Linked DNA regions of Arabidopsis thaliana. The main gene of each other region encodes a partner of the protein of the gene in region 3 in a complex. Each region holds a gene or a part of one and is shown on either strand. Other genes may lie near its edges.

Region 1 (6,954 bases), on a different chromosome or scaffold from region 3:
TATAGGTTGTGGATGAAACCTGAGTACAGATGCTACTGGAGGGCGATAGGTCCAGACACAAAGGTCGCAGTTGCATTTGGGCTAGTAGCCGGGAGAATATACGGCACAGATATGACAGTACGAGAAGCGCTTGACGGGCGAGGAGAAGCCTATAAGACACTTCTAAGAGAGGCAACAACTGCATTGCTCAATTCATACAACTCTCTAGGATTTCCTTATAATTCCGTCGCTGTGATCACATATACCAATCTGGCTCTCCTCGGGAATTCGGAACACGATGTCCTCATGACTGCTATTCGTTTCATCAAGGCTAATTCCGGGACCTGCAGATTCACAGTCTGCAATTGATTGAATGTGTTTTCAATACTTATATACTCTACACTCTTTCTTTCTCTTTTACATTGTTCTTGGGTCCTTTTGTAATACTATAAAAGTCTATACCTGGATTCATTGGAGAATTTATGGACTATTATTGTATCCCTATTTATACTCGGCATTAAACTTAGTTGTTACAAAGCCTAACGTTCTAGCACTGTGAGCACTAAATGTTGTTATGATATAATGCATCAATGATTGGAGAGGGACATGAACAAAAGTAGATATGCTTCATTCATAAGGGAGATCACAAGGTCTTAGAAATAGAAGAAAAACAAACCACTGAGCTATTATATATCAGACAAGGAACGTGTTATGTTCTGGCTATTTCAAGACACAAACTTTCCTCCAACAATTGGTCTCTTGCTACCAGACAGATCCTGTTCAAAACCAAAGCACATCAACGCTCAGCAAAATCCATTAAGAGGGTTTCCAAGAAAACGAAAATATCGAAATCAGTAATCACAGTAAGATATAGAGATCAGATTGTGTACCTTTTCAACTCACTCTAACATGTTCTTGTGACTAATCGATTCCTAATACTCCAGTGCAAAGGGATGGAAGTGAAATCAGCCTAAATGTTTCTTAATCATTGTCCATATTGCGTTTGCGGGTAATAATAACTAAGTAGCTTCTTGAAGAGAGGAACAATCGCAACCATAGCAAGTTGGAGCTGCTCGGAGCTGTTAACACGAACACTTACTTGCCCTGCTCCTCTATTGTTCAGATTAGCACGAGCAATTAAATTAGAGGAACGTCCAATGGGAACCTGAGACTGTATGTTCCCTCCAATAGCAAGATCACCGTGCCAATCCATTACAGAAAGTCCAAGAGTAGTCAAAAACCGACCAAGCGGATAATCTTTATCTCTCAACTGAGCTTCCAAAGTACCACCATAAGCAAAATCTCCCCGACTAGTCATAGCTCCACCAGACATTACGATTCTGAACCATTTACTAGCAATAAACTTATCTTCGACTTTCAACCCCGCAGAAACCGAATCACCCAAGTGTGTTACAGAAAGACCAGCTGCAGCCTTGTTTCTCCTGAAATTGTTAAATCTCGTTTCGCTTCGAAGAGTATAAGCCAATTCCTTTCCAACAGTTTGCATGTCGAAACCTAGGGAAGTTGATTTACCCTCTCCATGTTTAACCGAGCTGGCCATTTCTAGCTGCACATTTGCATCCTTCTTGTCTTTTGTCACTTGACCTGAGACAGATATTGGTATTTTTTCTTTTACAACAAAGAGCCGTTCTGCATTCACACCTTCATAACCAATATCATGATCCCACCCATGAGTTTCCAGGACTGGCCTAACAAGCCACTGATTGGAGGAATCAAGGTACCGGTAGCGGTGAGTAGGGTTATCAGAGTCAAAAGACGCAGGTAGAGATAAATCTGGCATAGGAACTGGAACTGATGCAGGTCCACCACTCTCCTCTTCCACATTTTCACTATACCCATCAGGCAAATCTTTAATCTCTGCAGCAAATTTCTTAAACATCTTACGTCTCTTTCTTTCCTCTTTCATTTGCTTCTTCATTAAAAGTTTCTCTCGGTACTCCATTTCATCGAGATACTGCTTCTTCTGAGATTTACTAAGCGTAGCCATCTGAGCTTTAGTCAAACTCTTAAACGGAGGAAGCTGATCATACTCTGATTCTTCGTCTGAATCTGATGATTCTTCTAAATCATCTTCATCTTCTTCATCACCATACTGCTGTTCAGGAAGCTTAGGTTGTGGTCTTGATTGCAGAAGCGATGAAAGGAGAAATGGTAATGGCGGAGCCTTGGACCGAGCTGCAAATGGTCTCCCTGGAATATTATCTTGCAACTTCAAAAGAGCATTTGCTTCTGCTAGAATCTTAGATGCAAATGAGAGTAGCAACAAATGTGGCTTCCACACTTGGCCATTCGGTAATACTCTCTGGCCTGCCCGATTAGTCCTGCAAGCTGAGTGATTCTCAACTAAAGAAACAGGGTTCATGAGCCTCATATCTCCAGCTGCTTGGCGAATGGCCTGCTGGATGACATGAGAACGTTGTGTAACAAACATATCATAGCTAGAAGCAGTGCCATTTGGGCCATCTGGTGGAACAGAAGCGGCATGAGTCAAACCCACAATGGCATTAAACCATATCGAAGGACCAAAAACATCACTTATGGTGCGCAGGAGAGGCATGTCACCAGAATCTCTGCTTTGCATATCCAACCTATCAAGATATAGTACAATGTCAGGTGGATTCTTCTTGATGAAAGCCTTAACAGAATTCAGGATCTTCTCATTCTTGGCTTGATCAGACCAGGAAGGTAAGAGACCGGGAGTGTCAATCACCCGTACCTTAATTCCCTGAACCAAACCCTCAACATCTTGAACCCTCTTTGTCCCCATCTGGAATGCATCAGTACAAAATTTCACTTCATCAAATATAGAATTGATCGTTGCACTTTTACCAACCCCACTTTTTCCGAGAACCATAATCGTACAAGAAAAATCAAGTGGATCCTGTCCAGCAGCCTCAAGCTGTTCTGCCATGGCACTAGCGCGATCAAAACTAAAAGCACCAACACGGCTTCCATTTCTGCCCCTCAACTGCTCAGCCAATCCAAGCCTGTATAAAACCTGAGCAACAACAACATTATGCGGGGTTTGCCCTAGTCTATGTGCAAGCCTCAAAAATTTTACCCTGATCAACTGGAGCTTCTCGCGGGTCTCATCATGCTCATCAGCCTCTGTAGTGGTAGAGTCTTCAGCTTGCTGAAACTGATTGTGAGACCCATTCCCATTGACGCGAGACTGTTGAGGAGCACGTGATGCAGGTTCCAAAAGAGGAGAAGCACGACCAAGACCTGCTGGACGAGCAGGTGGTAATGCCGCAGGATTACTTCTAGACTCTGTTGGTGAAACAGAACTTACTACCTCAGGTTCTGTTTCCACATGTGAATTTTCTGTAATCTCTGGATCTACATGTACTCTGCTGCTTTGCTGCTTCTCAAGCTCCTTATTTGGTTGAGGACTCTGAACATCATGTCCTCCATTAGCACTTTGAACTGGTTTGTGTTCTCTACTAGTTACCCCAGGGGAGCCACTATTGCTGTGAACTTCAGTTGACTCAGGATATGAGTGCGGCGAAGAAGCCAAGTGTTGCTCTGGTTTTAAACAAGTACTGTCCCCTTCAGTCTCTCCCTTTTCCCCGGAACTAGATTCCTCCAATGGAGATGAAGTCACAGCACTTGATACTTCATTGTCACCTGAAGCATTAGTAACGATATTACTTGTGTAGGCGGCACCAGTCTCACCATTTCTTTCTGCCTCGGACTCACTGTCCATACATACTGAACCATTCTCAAATAGATCCTTACTTGTTCCTTCACCTTCCACAACATCTTGTTCTGTCTGTTTCTCAAATAGATTCTTACTTGTTCCTTCACCTTCTACAACCTCTTCTTCTGTCCGTTTCTCAAATTGATTTTCAGTTGTTCCTTCACCTTCCTCAACCTCTTGTTCTGTCTGTATGCCATCAACTCTTTCCTCCCAATTATCGACTTCAATGCCATCATTCCATGGTTCCTCAATCCCATCATCTTTAGGGATAACTTCAGCCACCACTTCTTTATTTTTAGGAGAGGCGATTCCATTTCCCAAAAAAGAATGAGTCTTTCCGTTTTCAATACCCACATGCTCAGCTGCTAAATTGGAACCATTAGTATTAGTTGATGTAGCATTCTCAGTGGTATCAACAACATCCAAGCTCGATTCAACTTTATCATAAGAACCACCTCCACCTCCTTCCCCCTTATCACCATTCATTTTAGTAGCCAAAACATCAAATTCAGCCTCTCCCGCACCATGGCTCTCTCCAACAGCCGTAAAATCTTTAACACCCCCTTCATTGCTACTCGTTTCATCCAAATCACCCACTGCCTCTTCAAAATCCTCCACTTCATGCTCAACCATAGAACTTTTAAGAGTTTCCACTAAAGGCAAATCATCAGATTCAAACAATTCACGTTTTGGATCCTCCTCCTCCTCCTGCTCATCATTCTCTGAACCAATCGCTTCCTCAAAAACCTCGTCCTCGTTATCATCCCTTACTTCATCAGATCTCACCAACTCATTCTTCACTACTTGCTCATCACTAATTCTATCCTCAGCAAGCTTCTTATCTTCCCTATCTGACCTAACCACAAACTCAGTCCCATCTCCCATTTTCTAGATCACCACCGCTACGGGAAACAAAAGCCACAAATACAATAATCAGAGATCAGAAATCACTCCAATTACCAACTACGCTTTAACCATCAATATAAATTCCAACAACCAAAAAAAAAAAAAAACGAGCACACAGCTAAAAGAAACCTAGATCAGAGTTAATCACCACGAATCCTAGAATCCTTATCCCTTACCAATTCCAGAAACTAAAATTCAATTGAAGTTAACCAAATCGCTTAAACACAGGTCTAAGCGGTGATAGGGATCTCCAAACATGGAAGAAGAACTTTGTTGATTACAGGAAACGAAAACCAAAACAGAAGAAAGAAGACGAAGAAAGAAGAAGAGAAATGGAGAGAAGCCTTACCAGAAGTTAGAGATAGAGAGAGAGAGAGAGAGAGAGAAATAGAGAGAAGGTGAAAAAGTGTGAAGATCCTTTCATGCGCTTTACCGGCTGCGAGCCTGCGACTACGACGGGGAAGGAGATAAGAGACGTTCATCAACGGTCCTGATCAGTTTGGGTTTAAGCATCGTACGGTTGATAATGACTCGTTGATGCAATCGTGAAATGATGCTGACGTGGACTATATAAAGTAGAGTGAGTGAAGCCGTGAAAGGGAATAGAAAACCCTCGTGCGTCAATTCGGTTTAACCAACCCGGTCTGATTCGGTTTGGTCTACTACAATTTTTTGTGTTCTTTCTAATGAGAAAAGTTCAGTCCCTTATTATAGAACCAATGAACGTTTTTTGTGTTAATCTTCAAAGGACAAAGAATGAAAACTCATAACAAATGATACATGAACTCAATAAGCTGGTGCAGCTACTAAGGAATCTTCCCATTACTCTTAGGTGAATCTAAAATACTTTGTCTGCTAATACACATCCAAGTTCTTGAAGACTCTTCATTGTTTTCGCATGAGACCGGGAAATGCCATGACCCTTTCTCTGATTCCTGATTTTGTCGAAACGTAATTGAGAAACTATCGAAACCGGAGAAAAAAAGGACTGAGATGGTAAACAAACCTGAATGACAACCGAAAAAGGAGACGGCATTTCAAGCTTCAGGTTACCTTTCACAAAAGTATACCGGACCTGTACCAAAACCATAAACCAAATGTTCTAATTGTAGACTTCTCAAAGTTGCACTTTTAGTATAAAAAGTTACATATTGTATATAAGTTTATATAACTTTACCTGATGTCTTTCTTTCCACTTTTGGAAAAAAGTACTCCCTAAGAGTTCAAAAATGTGGTCTCTCATCTCATCATTTGTCACAAGCAAACACTTGAGCTTAGCAGCAGCATACAGCCAATACCTGGAAAGGTAAAAAAAACAAAAGATGAGTGTAGTAACCAAACATTGTTTGTGTTTTTTGTCGAAATAATGGTGCTGAGAGAAGCTAAAAGTTCATACCAATCATCATTGGAACCTGGTGGAGTTGCATACAGGACACCGTTACTAATCCATTCTTCAACCAGATTCCGGTGAGTTGGGTTTTCTAAAAGCGTCTTGACCCGTCTCTTGTGCAATAGAATTAGGGGCCATTTGTTATTACCACTTTCACGGTAAAGTTCCTTCATCACAGATTCAAGCTGCTCTATCCCACATGTATGTGATATCAGTATAGCAAGGAATGGATTCTAAAAATATGGAGGAAGAAAAACAAGTACCCCAGAAAAGATGGGAGAACCTGTGAAAGACTGAAACTGCCATCTACAAAATTTTGTTGGTAGAGCCCAATATTTGCTCCATCTACTATAGCTTCGTAATCTCCATGTTTCTCAAGCCAGTCCTGCCAAATAAGATAGCAACATTCAACAAATATCGACATTTGAATACTCAAGATTGATGACAATTCGCAGCAAAAACTCCAACCAGTGTACCTATCTCTAAATGCTTATCATGCAATATTTAATGTCCAAGACTTATTATAACCAAGCTAAGAGAATCCCATCTCTAACCTGAAACTCGCTGAAGACCACATTTGTCTCACATGAATTCATCTTTGTCTTCCTATCCATAGCCAAAGCCACCAAAGAATCCACAAACTTCTGTGTTTCTACCTCATTGGTATCTACACAAGCTAACTGCTCACTGCAGCTCAAACATCTTCCTGTTGAGCTAACATTACCTTTCTTTACAGTCCATTTACCCTCCCCAACCCACCCATGCCCGTGCCACCCACCTCCATTATTCAAAACAGCTTCTCTAAGCATCCCAACATCAGAACCAATTCCATTATCACCAACCTCACCAGCTTTTTCTCCACAGAACCATTCCTCAATAATTTTCAAAGTTTCTTCACTAACGCAGCCAACATATTCCCTCAACTTATGTAAATATCTATAAACCTTGTTTTCTCGAC
Region 2 (7,867 bases), on a different chromosome or scaffold from region 3:
CATTGCCCAATTTCTCAGTACTTTCTTTCTGTTGTATCCTCTGTTTTCTTTCAGTTATGTGAGTGTGTGTGTATGCTCTTGAGAGTATCTTTGGCAAAAACTATTTATCTAATCTTCAAGCTATTCTAAAATAAATCAATTAGTTAACTAATGCAAAGATTGCGATGTCTTAACTATGGAGATACTGACTAGTGAGAATAGTATGTAAGGACTTTAGTCTGGTGGAAATCTTACTTTGGAACGTTTCTCCTGGCGAAAGAAGTTGACTTAAGAAGACTTTGAACGTTCTTATCCTTAAAGTTTCCTTGCTTTGTCATGTCTGAAAATGACAAGTAAAATATAGACGTAAGCTTCAAATCAGACAAAACAAAACACATCAGATTTCTGGACCTATTCACCTCTCTATAAATAACAGAAACGGTTAGAGCAGCAAGTTTGTGTTTTTCACCATCAATTTTGTACCTTGACCGCCGTAAACGCAGGGTGAAGAAAGTCCACCTAGTGTTTATCTCCAACTGTTTGCTCGTCTCATTACTCTGATGACTTTGTGGCTACCCAAAGAATTGCGAGTAAAGCCAGCCATATATTTGCAGACTCTGGTCATCCTTTAAGTTAGAGGCTTTGCTACATCAAATATTCACATAAACCATAAAGATTAAGTCCACCAAGAAATATCCTTTATTCGGAGTTTTGTCTGCTAGTATCATCAAGTTTACTTCACCACGATACTCCAATAGTTTCCAGATATTATATAAGAATGAAAATCTATTACAAAGCATTTTTATAAAAAACATACCATTGCCTTCAAGGGACCAAGGAAGAACAGTAAGATCCTGGTGAAGAACACAATGAGATGAGGGTTCTAGTACAAAATCTTATCAACAGTTACAGGCTACGCACCTGCTTTAAAGATTCTTCACCGAGTGATTTGTATCTTCTGCAGAAATTTAGTAACAAATTAGCAAACTCAAACCAAGCAACATCATTAGCATGAGACGTAGACCAAAAGAAGACTGAACTAGATTCCATTATCTGAAGAACAGCAAGAGAAGCTGAGAAGGGCTAATGAAAGTGAAGAATTACTGATACATGATAAATTAAATCCGATGGGAACCTCTCAACAGAACCAAAATACAACTTTGATAAACTTCAACAAAGTTTTTATTAAAGTGGGGGAAAAACATGAACTAAAAACCAGTAATAAAAGAAAAGATCATTCTGCAGCATTCATCAGCATATTTAGTACATGCTGTACTTGTCGTTCGTCGCTTCGGGTCGAATGCTCTTGTAGATGGACATGGCAATTGGAAGAATGGCTGTGAGAGCGATTTGCAACTGATCCGAGCTGCTGGTTCTGACTGTGATCTGTCCGCTCATCTTGTTGTTAAGTCCTGCACGAAGCGCAATCTTTGAGTTCCTTCCAACAGAGACTTGAGATTGGAGATTGGCTCCAAGGGCTAAATCGCCTCTCCACTTTACCAGAGACAGCCCAAAAGAAGATTGGTCCTGTCCAATTGGGAAATCAGCTTCCCTAAGCCTGACCTCGAGGTTCGCACCATAGGCCGAATCTCCCTGTGATCGCATTGTCCCAGTGCTGCCCACAAGCACCAACCTTTTCCCCAGTGCTATTTGGTCCTCGAGTTTGACCCCAGTGGCGATGTTCTCTCCCAAGAATGTCACTGACCCTCCAACAGTTGTCTTGTTCTTCCTCAAATTCTTGAATTTGGTTTCTCCTCTGACCACATATGCCAGCTGCTTGCCTACATTCTGAATATCGAACCCTGCCATGGTGGATCCATTCTCCCCGTGCTTAGCAGACACAGAGGAGTCCAGATGAATGTTGAACTCTTTCTTGTCCTTGGTGACTTGGACAGTAGCTGTGGCAGGGAACCGGCTAGCTAGAGCAAGACTGTGTTCTGCATTGACGCCGTCATATCCACAGTCATGGTCCCAACCATGGGTATCCAACACTGGCCTGGTTAGGAGTTGTGAAGTGGGTTCCAGATATCGGTATCGGTAAGCTGAGTTATCACTATCAAATGAAGGTGGCAAAACCATATCGGGTAATGGAACTGGCACTGCAGCTGGAGCCCCGTTTTCTGGATCATCTTCTTCTCCCGGATAACCAAACTCACTTTCACCCAGCTTCTTCCCGTTTTTCTTCATTTCTTTCATCCTCTTTAATTCCTCTCTCCATTGCTTCTTCTGCAGGAGCTTTACACGGTAATCATACTCCTCGAAATATGCCTTTCTCTGTTCATTTGAGAGCTTTGCAAGTTGGGTTTTTCGAAGAGGCTTAAATGGTGGCAGCTGGTCATACTCATCATCTTCCCCATCTTCCTGCTCAGAATCAGACACATCATCAATTTCGATATCAGAGTCAACACTATCACCACCTTGGTCTCCAGGGAGCTTAGGATGTGCACGGGACTGCAACAGCCAAGACAACAAGTAAGGGAGAGGCGGGGATCTAACTCGGAAACCAAATACTTTACGATGGTCCAATGGTTCTTGAGGCCTCAATAGAGAATTTGTTTCTGACAAAACCTTCAGGGAGTAACACAATAGCAACAGCTGAGATCTCCAAGTTTGGCCATTCGGGAGAACCTTCACTCCCTCCCGGTTCTTCCTACACAAGGGGTGATTCTCAACAAGTGAAACTGGATTCATCAGACTTGGATTCATCAAGCGTAGATCTCCAACAGCCTGTCCTATAGACTGTTGCACAATATGTGAGCACTGCGCTACAAACACATCATAGCTCAATGGGGTGCCAGATGGGCCATCAGGAGGGGCAGAAGCCGCATGGGTCAATGTCACTATAGCGTTTTTCCATATGGATGTACCAAGAGAAGCAGTAATCGTCCTTAGCAAGGGCAAATTGTTCAAGTCCCTGGTCTGGGTGTCAAGACGATCTACATATAGTACAATATCAGGGGGACACTTCTTCATTACCTTCTTTACAGAGGACAACATTTTTGCATTTGTACTTTGATCCATCGCAGCAGACTTCAAACCCGGAGTATCAATAAAGGTAATCTTGACACCATTCACCGTTCCAGAAATTTCTCTAACCGAAGTGGTTGAGAGCCCAAAAGCATCAATGGACGCAATCTGGTTTCCCAAAATGGAATTTATAGTAGCACTTTTTCCCACCCCGGCTTTTCCAAGGACCAGTATGTTTAGGGAGAAGATCAATTCTTCGTTGCCCTCAGCCTCAGACTCCACAGCCTTCTTCTTTGCAGCATCAAGACTGAATAACTGCCCTGCTTGTCTCCCAGCAAGTAGTGCAAGACGGTAAAGAACCTGCGCTGCAATTGAATCTTCTGCCGAATGACCCAACCTTTGCAAAAGCCGCAAAAACTTCACACGGAGGCTTTGCAACTTTTCTAATTTCTGTTTCTCTTCCTCGCTCAAGTTAATCTCAGTCTCATCTGCCATTGTGACATTAGAATTGGAAAAGATGTTGGAACGGTTTGCACGTGGAGCTGCTGCAGGCTTCAAGGGCCTTAACGATGAACTCAAACCAGCAGGTCGATCCATAGAGAAAAGCTTCGTGCCATCCTGAGATGTTATGGTAAAATTGCCACCTTCTGAACTTCCACCACCAGTGGCTGCCTTCAAAAGCGCAGCCAAAGCTGCAGTATCAAACATTTTCTCCTCACCTTCATCCTCTGTGTCTACATCCTCGTCAGAATCGGTGACAATCTGGCCATCAATCCTATCTGACATATTGTTAGAAATGTTTGCTTCATCAGAATGTGCCTCTATACCAGAAGAAGCCTTTTCCAACTCTGCTAAGAACTGTTTTGCAGCTTCAGAACTCCCAAATATCATCTCTTCAGTTTCTTCTTCACTTTCAGACCCATCAACCCTGGTAACACCTTCGCCAGAAGGTTCCTGGTCCACTTCCTTGCCTCCAAAGCTAAACTCACGAGAAGAAACAATGTCTTCGACTGGGAGCTTGTTTTCATCCTCTTCAGCACTGTCCCCTTCGACAACTTTCCGAACCTCAAACTGTGACTCAGCTGCAGGAATTGAATCCTCTTCTGCATCAACTGAACCCACTTTTAAACTTTCAGAAACAGGCAATTCTTCTACTTCCACACCTACTTTTGGTTCGTCTGGCTCTACTTTGGCAGCCTCTGATATTTCCTTAACAGCCAATTCAAAATTTCCATCATATGCAGCAGTCAGGTCATCAGGTTCCTCAATATTTGAGATGGTCTTGTCAACCTCATCATCTTTATCATCTTCCTTAATTACAGCCTCCTTAGCCGCCCCGACAACCACAACCCCTGGCTCTGCAACATTGATATCAGCATCAACAGAGTCCACCACAGAGGAGTCAACCATAGAGTCTCCTTCACTAACCAACTTTCCTCCTCCCTCCTCTGTGGCTTTATCGGATTCAAGTTCAACTTCACCACCTTCACCTTGGCCAATTGGATCAAACTTATTATGCACATCAGGGATGTTGCCATCAGTTTCCAGCACCTCACTCACCTCTACGTCTCCAACAACAACAACCCCTGGCTTTGCCACATCTACATTCACAGCTTCAATAGCAGATGAGTCCACCACAAAGTCTCCTTTGTTGTTTAACTTAACACCTTCTTCTGCATCATCGACTATGCCACCGAGCACACTCTCCTCCTCTTTGGTTCCATTGTCAGCTACTGCACTAGCTGCCTTGATTACTTCAGCATAAGTCATACCCTTCTCCAATCCGTTGGCTTTTTCCACATCCTTTGGTTCACTCCCACTCTCGGCAGCTACAACCTCTGGCTCTACAGCACTGGTATCCACAGATTCTAACTTAGAGGAGTCTGCAATAGAGTCTGATTCGCTAGTAAATTTTTCTTCTACCTCCTCAATGGCCTTGTCAGACACAGGTTCAAATTCACCACTATCATCATCCCCAATTTGATCAAACTTATTAGCCACTTCAAGAGTTTCAGCATCAGCATTAATCTTCAACTCCTCACTTCCCTCTGCGTCTCCTACAACAACCACCCCTGGTTTTGCCACATCAACATGCACTGATTCTACAGGGGACGAGTTCACAATGACGTCTCCTTTATCAGTTAACTCCACACCCTCTTCTTCAATAACATTATCACTTTTATCGTCAACATCAACTTTTCCACCCAACTCACTCTCCCCCTCATCATCTTTTTTTGTTCCAACATCTTCTTCTTCCACATCCTTCACTTTACTCTCACTCTCCCCATCTGTGGAAGCCTGTTTCACATCAACATCAACACTCCCATTTTCAATCTTACTCTCACCATCGTCTTTAATATCCTCCACGTCCTCCTTAACCTTCTTATTCTCCTCCACAACCCCTACACCATCAGAAACAGCCTCCGGCTTCGGAGATAACGATGAAACATCATCTACACCAATTGTCTCACCAGAAACCACCTCAGGCTTCGGAGTAGCCTCAGGAGTAGTAGAATCCTCCTTTAAAGAACCATCCACCTCGTCGGAAACCTTCCCATCACCCACCAAATTCGGCTTCTCCTTCTCGGAGTCAGATAAATCATCAGCTCCAACCTTATCCGAATTACCAGACACAGCCTCCGATGAGGAATCCAACTCCTTGGCACTACTCACAGCACCACCATCCTCCTTATCGGCGGCTGCAGCAGCAGCGGCGGCGACAACAGAAGCATAGGTTTTTCCTGATAACAAAATATCCTTCCGATTAAAACCCTATTCCCAAAAACGCAGATTAAAGAAGATATAAACGAGAAAGAAGAAAAACCTGATTGCCCCGAAGAAGCGTAGAAGGGGTTGGTTGGTTCTGGAGTAACCGACTTTGAGTCCATTTCCGCTTTGCTACTGAGACTCTTTCTCCGCCAAACTTGTGGAGGAAGGAGATAGCGATAGATAGATAGGGTTTAAAGGAATTTACCCTTTTTTGTGTGAAGGTTTTTATGATTGAGAATTTGGCTGCTCTCTCTCTTTTGAAGAAGAGAGAATTGGGAGAGATAAGGTCACTCGGCGAACAAAAAATGACTCTTCGTTTTTCTTCTTTGCCTTGGGATTTTATCTTCTCAGTTTGTGTTTTGAGGATGATGATGAAATTACCGAATTACCCTCGCTTCTATGTTGGTGAAGTTTCCAAGAGGGCTCTCTTTTGTGCTACGCTTTAAACTGTGTCGCTTCATTGGCTCAAGCCAAAATATATAGAGTTTCTTTTTTTATTTGAGGAAGAAGTACAATAATCATTTGTGGTTAAAATTTGAAAAACATTGTATCATTTTAAAAAACAGTAATTTTTTTGTCAAGAATTTTCAATTTTTGTTGAGTAAATTTAGAATATTTTAGTCACTTTTTGGAAAGTATTTACTGTTTAATATTTTGTTTTTATTATGCACAATTCTCCAAATGTTAAAATCTTCCCCAATGGAAAATGTTTTGATGGGCTCACTAAATCTAGGGTTTTTGAACTCATGAGAATTAGGGTTTTGTTATATCTTCTCTTTACTAAAAACCAAAAAAACCACACAACAACAAAATAAAATAAAACATTTAAAATAAAAAACGAGATAACATTTTGAGATTTGGGTTTTATAAAGAAGAAAGAAATCTTTTTTGTATCTTTGTTGATCCTCCCTACCCGAAATTGCTTGGCCACAAACGATTTTCTCACCATTATCTACGAATTATCTTGGATTTTTGTATAACACGGATTCCATATATTAGGCCGTGATTTTAGTTTTCAGATGGGCTTTTATAAGGCCTCCCCCTAATAATAGCCCGTATACATGATTTTATTATCAATTAAAGACATTCAGATTTCAGATACAACAACCCATACTGCAAAAGAATCTGACCACATGCCAAATTTTGTTTTTCGAATTAAACTCCTAAACTACACAAAACTTGTGAATATGATCTCAGAACTATACTAACTCAATGTGATTTTTTCACATTTTGCATACTAAAAGTAAATAATTAGTTGAATGTGAAATCAGGTTAAAAAAAAGTTCTTGAATTAACACAGATTATTGATCCATGAAGCTACAAAATCTCAAGTTCTAATGGATTACAAAGAACAAAAAGGAAGAAAAACAACATTTTGATTTCGTAATAGAACTCTAGACGTAGAGACAAAGTAAAACCAAAGAATTAACTGATGTCTCTGCACAATACTTTATCATCCATCTTAGTACAACAACAAGCAAAGACACAAGACATAAATATAGCGAGAAACATAACACAAATCCTAAACGCAAAACCGATTCAAACTTGATTGGTTTGTACCTTAACCGCCTTAAACGCCGGATGAAGCAACCCGAGCTCGTCTTTCATCTCCAACGGATTGCTAGTCTCGTTCCGCACTCTCTTGACTTTACGACTAGCCAAAGATTTGTGAGTGAAACCATAGATTTGCAGAATCTGGTTATCTCCAAAGTTAAAGGCTCTGTCCATTTGTTTTAGACACCGTTCCACCGGGTAATCACCAAATTTCCCACACGGTTTGCAACCGACAAAGTGAGTCACCAATGGCCATCTGTGATCTCCTAGACCCGGGTGGTAGTTTTCTATCATTTCTTCATATCTGTCCACAAGAATCCCCCAGTAACCGTGAAGATAGTATCCACTTTCTAGGTACACCTATAACAACAATGCAGTGGCTCAAATGAGTAGCTCAACAAAATCCAAACCAAGCAAAGATTTGAGTTTACTTCAATAATAGACCCTTACACAGATGTCAGAAACCACAAGATGCAACTCACATTGTCATTTTTGATGATCAAGAGACATGATAAACCACAAAAAGCAACTCACATTGTTATTTTTGATGTTCAAGAGACATGATAAACCACAACAAGCAAACCACAAGTTTCCAAAT
Region 3 (4,901 bases):
TTAAGCACGGTGGATAAGAATTTCAAAACAAAGAGATTATCTAATCGAAATCAAGTATATATATATAGAGGCGCTTAAGAAACCCGAGATGGAAGGGCATTTTGATTTGAATACTTGGGATTGAACGGTCATTTGTGAATGATCCACTAGTTAAAGCACACTAACCTTTTGGTTTGGTATTGATAGGGTCGACATCTGAAATCATGCCAAACCCAGAACCACTTCCATAACCACCGCCGCCACCACTGGATATGCTCAATTCATTGAAACCACTTTCAAGTCTTCCAGATCCCATTGAACCCATGGACGAAAATCCTCCTGGCTTATTCTTTTCAATCTAGGAATTACATAAGAAATATTAATAGGAGTTACAGAAATAGAATACAACAGCAGGGTGCGCTCCTGTCATGTACCTTGCTTTTGTCAATCTCATTAGCCTTACGCTTCATCACGTCCTTAGTGTCATTGATCTTGCTCTGCATAACCAGTTTATGCAACTTCTCCTCATGACTTTCCATTTCACAATACTGCTTCACCTGGGCAACTGTCACACTTTCCTTGTGCCCAAGAGATATGACTTCATCAAATGCAAATATGAGCTCAAAAGATGCCCTGGAAATCCCTTCTTCATCTAAAGACATGGAATACTCAGGTACCTAGAAACAATCAAATGATCAAACAGCACTTGGAACACTCACTTTTCAAAAGAACTAAGAACCAGTACACATCCAGAGTCAAGGCAATAATCTCCTCAAATAAAGTAGCAGAAGTAAAAAAAAAAGAAAGAAAGAAAGAAAGAAGCATACAAGTTTGGAGAGCAAAGTAAGGGTGGCCAGGTCTTCTAGAATGTTACTCTGCTTAGTTGTAACAAGAAGCAGGAACAGAGCTTCAATAGGCTGATAAACATATCGCACATTCTCCGTCTCGATATAGGTATGCTGCTTTCCCATTCCAACCAGCTTAGGAAAAGCTGCAAGTAGACCTTCGATTCTGATACGGGACATATCCACATAGTGTCTGGAAACAATCACTACATAAAAAAGAAGAAAGTTAGAAAAAACGCAAAAATATTGAAAAACGAGAATTCGAAGACAAAGTCAAAGATAGATGAAAATAACCTTTCCCAGACTTGACCACAATGGCAGCAGCAAGCACAACCTATAAAGCACAGGTTCCAACTTTAGAAAACGCGCCAGACACTCATCAAACACTAAAGTTAACACCAAATTGCGAAGATGCACTAAAAAGGAAAAAGAAAAAAACCAATCATAGAACAAAAGTCAATACCATTTTGATTATTCAGGCTCGAACAATCTCGGCGATTATAAGAAAGGTAATGCGAATCTGAAATACAAAGAACCAATGTTAGAGTAAATCCAGTTAGAGCGAGATCAGAAGAAACAAACGGGATTTGATCTTCAGGATCATAAATCACGTAATAGAGGAAGAGATCTCGAATACACGAATCCAAACGAAACTAGACTAGCGAATCGAAAATATAAAAAGAATTCATCGCAGATCCAGCGGATCTACGAGCATCAGAGGCTCATAATCGAAAAACATAACTGTAGAATCAAAATCAACACAAGCGGATCAAATTCATGAAACAGGATCGCGAAATTTAGAAGGAGGAGAAAATTCTTAATAATGGAGATCCACAGAAATGTAGCCAGAGAGAACATTCATTCAAAGGAAAACGAAAATCATCACCATCAGTGAAGGCGAAGAGCGAGAGAACAAGACGATACCTTGGGAGTGATCGAAGGAGATGAAATCACCAGTTTCTTCTTCACAAGCTCGCCGAGTAAAAAAGATGAAACGAGTCTCAGATTAAATCCTGGTGTGTGTGTTAGAGAAAAGACGATCCACAAAACAAGGACAAGTAATCTGGGCCGTTTCAGTTCCTTATTGGGCTTTCCAACCCAGTAAATGGAAGAAAAAATGCCAAAAGGGCAAATTCGTCATTGGTGCAGACCGACGACATTCGGTTTAGTCCGGTTGAATTTTGAAAGGAATGTACTTTCATGTATTGAGATTTGTAGCAATCAATCATCTTCAAAAGTCAATTTCAGTTCTAGGGTTTTAATTTGATACGAGGTCAGCGAATCCGGCGACGAATATCCGCCACTAGTAACTCTAGCTCAGGTAGGTTACTCTCTCTCTCGTTTTCTTTCTTTATCTGGTTTTCACTTCGTCCACTTAGAAGTATGCTCATTTGATAAATTGGCATTTGACCCCAGTTCAGGATTTAGGATTCTGATTATCTCTCAATACTTGATTAGTTTAGTGCTTAAGTTATTAGTTTTTGGTATGCCCACTTGCGCCATGTTCGTTTCTAAAGCAATGAGATTATTTTCATTTAAAGATCTGGAAAAAAGAAACTAATGGAGACAACGGCAAATGAAGATGGATTTTAAGGGTTTTTGTTCTTAGTAAAAAAAAGTTATCTTCTTTTTAATTTTCTGAGACTTTAATTGCTAGAAAGTTATAGGATTGATTCAGATAGTGGAATCAGACAACTTTTTCTTTTATGGGCGATTACTCATTTTTGTTCTTTGGTCTTCTGATTGTTTAGTTTCTTAGCAGATGATTTAGTCTTCTCTTTTGTGATCCTTTTTTGCTTTCCTTGGAAGTGTAGGTAAGGATTTGTGTCCATGGCAGCTTTGCAAACGCTTCGTGAATGGATCGGTATCCAGCAGTTCCCACCTGCTACTCAATCTAAATTGCTCGAGATCCTTGGGAAGTATAAAGAAGAGGTTCCTTTCTTGTTTCTAGCTTCATCTGCTTTCTGTTTGTTTCTTCTTGTCTTAGAGAGATTTAAGAAAGAAAAAAAACTGGTGTAGGATGTGAGCTCGCTAACGGTCCTTGTAATGGGGAAAGGTGGTGTTGGAAAGTCATCAACTGTGAATTCAGTTATAGGCGAGAAAGCTGCTGCAGTTAGTACTTTCCAGGTGCCAAGTTTAATGCTCTTCTCATGGCTTGTCTTTATGACTATTGGCTATCTTTCTTTTAATTTTTCTCATAGAAAGTGTGTGATTTTCCCTCTTTATAGTCTGAAGGACTGAGGCCTACCTTGGTCTCTCGCACAAGATCGGGATTTACATTGAATATCATCGACACTCCTGGTCTTATTGAGGGAGGATATGTGAATGATCAAGCCATCAACATTATAAAACGGTATGATGAACTGTTTCCAGGTCTAAGGAGTTACTCTCCTAATTTGGGGCTCATTTGTGGCATTTGTATTAATTTGGATTCGTGGATGTTGAATTTGAACAGATTTCTCCTCAACATGACTATAGATGTGCTACTATACGTAGACCGTTTGGATGTGTACCGGGTGGATGACCTTGATAGGCAAGTTGTCGGTGCTATAACTGATGCATTTGGTAAAGAGATATGGAAGAAGTCTGCTCTTGTTCTCACCCATGCTCAGTTCTCTCCACCAGACGGGTTAAATTATAACCACTTTGTCTCCAAAAGATCTAATGCTCTTCTAAAAGTTATCCAGACAGGCGCTCAACTGAAGAAACAGGATTTGCAGGTATAGTTTTTTCCTCCTTACATAAATGTCTGTAACGACCTTGATAGTAGTCAAGTTAATAGACTCACTTACCTCTGATCTTTTATTGTAGGGTTTTTCTATTCCTGTCATTCTTGTTGAGAACAGCGGAAGATGCCATAAGAACGAAAGCGATGAAAAGGTCAGTTGATTGGTTTTGTCCACGTTCTCTTTTTCTCGCGTCTTGTAGTAGTTGGACCAATCTTGAAGTCGGATTTTCCAAATTTGTGACAGATTCTTCCATGCGGGACTAGTTGGATTCCCAATCTGTTCAACAAAATCACAGAGATCTCTTTTAATGGCAACAAGGCGATTCATGTTGACAAGAAACTGGTCGAAGGGCCAAACCCAAACGAAAGAGGAAAAAAACTGATTCCTTTAATGTTTGCATTCCAAGTAAGCCCCTCTGAACCATTCAGTAACAATACAGAATAAGGCTTGATCAAAACATCATGCATCATTTATTCATCTTTTGATGGTTTGAAAATGCAGTACTTGCTGGTGATGAAGCCATTGGTTCGAGCAATCAAGTCCGATGTTTCGAGAGAGAGTAAACCGGCGTGGGAGCTGCGAGACTCCGGTTTAGCAAGTCGAAGGTCTTGAGTTGTGGACACGAGTTTTGTTTGGTTTGTTTGTCTATCTGAGAGATTGTTCTGTAGTTGAAATTGTGATACAACTCGAGAAATGTGGTTCACAGATAATTACTGTCGCAAAGTTCTCTCATCTTAATTACATCTTCTTTAGCCTCTCGTAAATCGTAATTAAGAGCTACTCTCTTGGTGAAAATGATTAGAAGAGATAATTCCATTTTGTCATTAATGGTAAAAGTAACCGCTGCAGTTATTTTTGACGCGATGCAAGTTTTGAAATAAAATAAAAATTTGAGTTAAAGAAAAAAAAAACCGATGTTTAAAGGAGGAATTTGGCAAACGGAGAAGACGGTTCAGAGAAGATCGTTTACTCTTTCCTCAATTTCGAACAAAGTTTTCGAATTTTCCAACTCTCTCTAGTGAATTTAGGGTTCTGATTTCGACATTAGTGTAAAGATTTGTTTTTTATCCGAGGGGTGCGATTGTGTAGTCAAACCAGATCAAATGTCGGCATCAACGGTGTCGATCACCGCTAATACGGCGGCAGCGACTAGACGGACGCCGATTCTTGCCGGAGAGAAAAAATCAAACTTTGATTACCCTCAAAGCGAATCGCTTGCGAACGGTGGTGTTGGGGAAGCCGGTGGTACGAGTAGAGATCTGAGCCGCGGTGAAGCTACCCTTGATCGATCTCAGGGACAAGATTTGGGTCCTGTGACGAGAAGGTCTGTTTCCGCTGCGACGGGGAC

The links. Proteins that work in one complex are often made in the same cells at the same time.
Region 1: TOC34 (region 3) and TOC132 share a complex: the UniProt entries of both Arabidopsis thaliana proteins name them as parts of the TOC core complex.
Region 2: TOC34 (region 3) and TOC159 share a complex: the UniProt entries of both Arabidopsis thaliana proteins name them as parts of the TOC core complex.

What each region holds. Positions count from the first base shown.
Region 1 is NC_003071.7:7,210,525-7,217,478, forward strand, and holds TOC132 (multimeric translocon complex in the outer envelope membrane 132), read right to left. Parts: upstream 5,094-6,954; 5' UTR 4,956-5,093; exon of another isoform or gene 4,603-4,955; 5' UTR 4,586-4,602; coding exon 965-4,585; 3' UTR 870-964; intron 756-869; 3' UTR 535-755; downstream 1-534. Other genes in the region: AT2G16630 (Pollen Ole e 1 allergen and extensin family protein), read left to right, coding at 6-348; PRORP2 (proteinaceous RNase P 2), read right to left, coding at 5,413-5,541, 5,613-5,681, 5,784-5,904, 6,003-6,181, 6,280-6,381, 6,551-6,954. UniProt on the Arabidopsis thaliana protein: GTPase involved in protein precursor import into chloroplasts. Seems to recognize chloroplast-destined precursor proteins and regulate their presentation to the translocation channel through GTP hydrolysis.
Region 2 is NC_003075.7:1,102,733-1,110,599, reverse strand, and holds the start of TOC159 (translocon at the outer envelope membrane of chloroplasts 159), read right to left. Parts: upstream 6,035-7,867; 5' UTR 5,835-6,034; coding exon 5,771-5,834; intron 5,688-5,770; coding exon 1,240-5,687; 3' UTR 901-1,239; exon of another isoform or gene 834-900; 3' UTR 797-833; exon of another isoform or gene 625-796; 3' UTR 463-624; intron 320-462; 3' UTR 235-319; exon of another isoform or gene 1-234. Other genes in the region: XT2 (UDP-xylosyltransferase 2), read right to left, coding at 7,255-7,629. UniProt on the Arabidopsis thaliana protein: GTPase involved in protein precursor import into chloroplasts. Seems to recognize chloroplast-destined precursor proteins and regulate their presentation to the translocation channel through GTP hydrolysis. Required for chloroplast biogenesis.
Region 3 is NC_003076.8:1,473,526-1,478,426, reverse strand, and holds TOC34 (translocon at the outer envelope membrane of chloroplasts 34), read left to right. Parts: upstream 1-1,992; 5' UTR 1,993-2,145; exon of another isoform or gene 2,146-2,638; 5' UTR 2,639-2,654; coding exon 2,655-2,756; intron 2,757-2,843; coding exon 2,844-2,951; intron 2,952-3,052; coding exon 3,053-3,177; intron 3,178-3,279; coding exon 3,280-3,544; intron 3,545-3,635; coding exon 3,636-3,704; intron 3,705-3,796; coding exon 3,797-3,958; intron 3,959-4,054; coding exon 4,055-4,165; 3' UTR 4,166-4,400; downstream 4,401-4,901. Other genes in the region: AT5G05010 (clathrin adaptor complexes medium subunit family protein), read right to left, coding at 166-337, 414-656, 807-1,030, 1,119-1,158, 1,288-1,290; SUN1 (SAD1/UNC-84 domain protein 1), read left to right, coding at 4,657-4,901. UniProt on the Arabidopsis thaliana protein: GTPase involved in protein precursor import into chloroplasts. Seems to recognize chloroplast-destined precursor proteins and regulate their presentation to the translocation channel through GTP hydrolysis.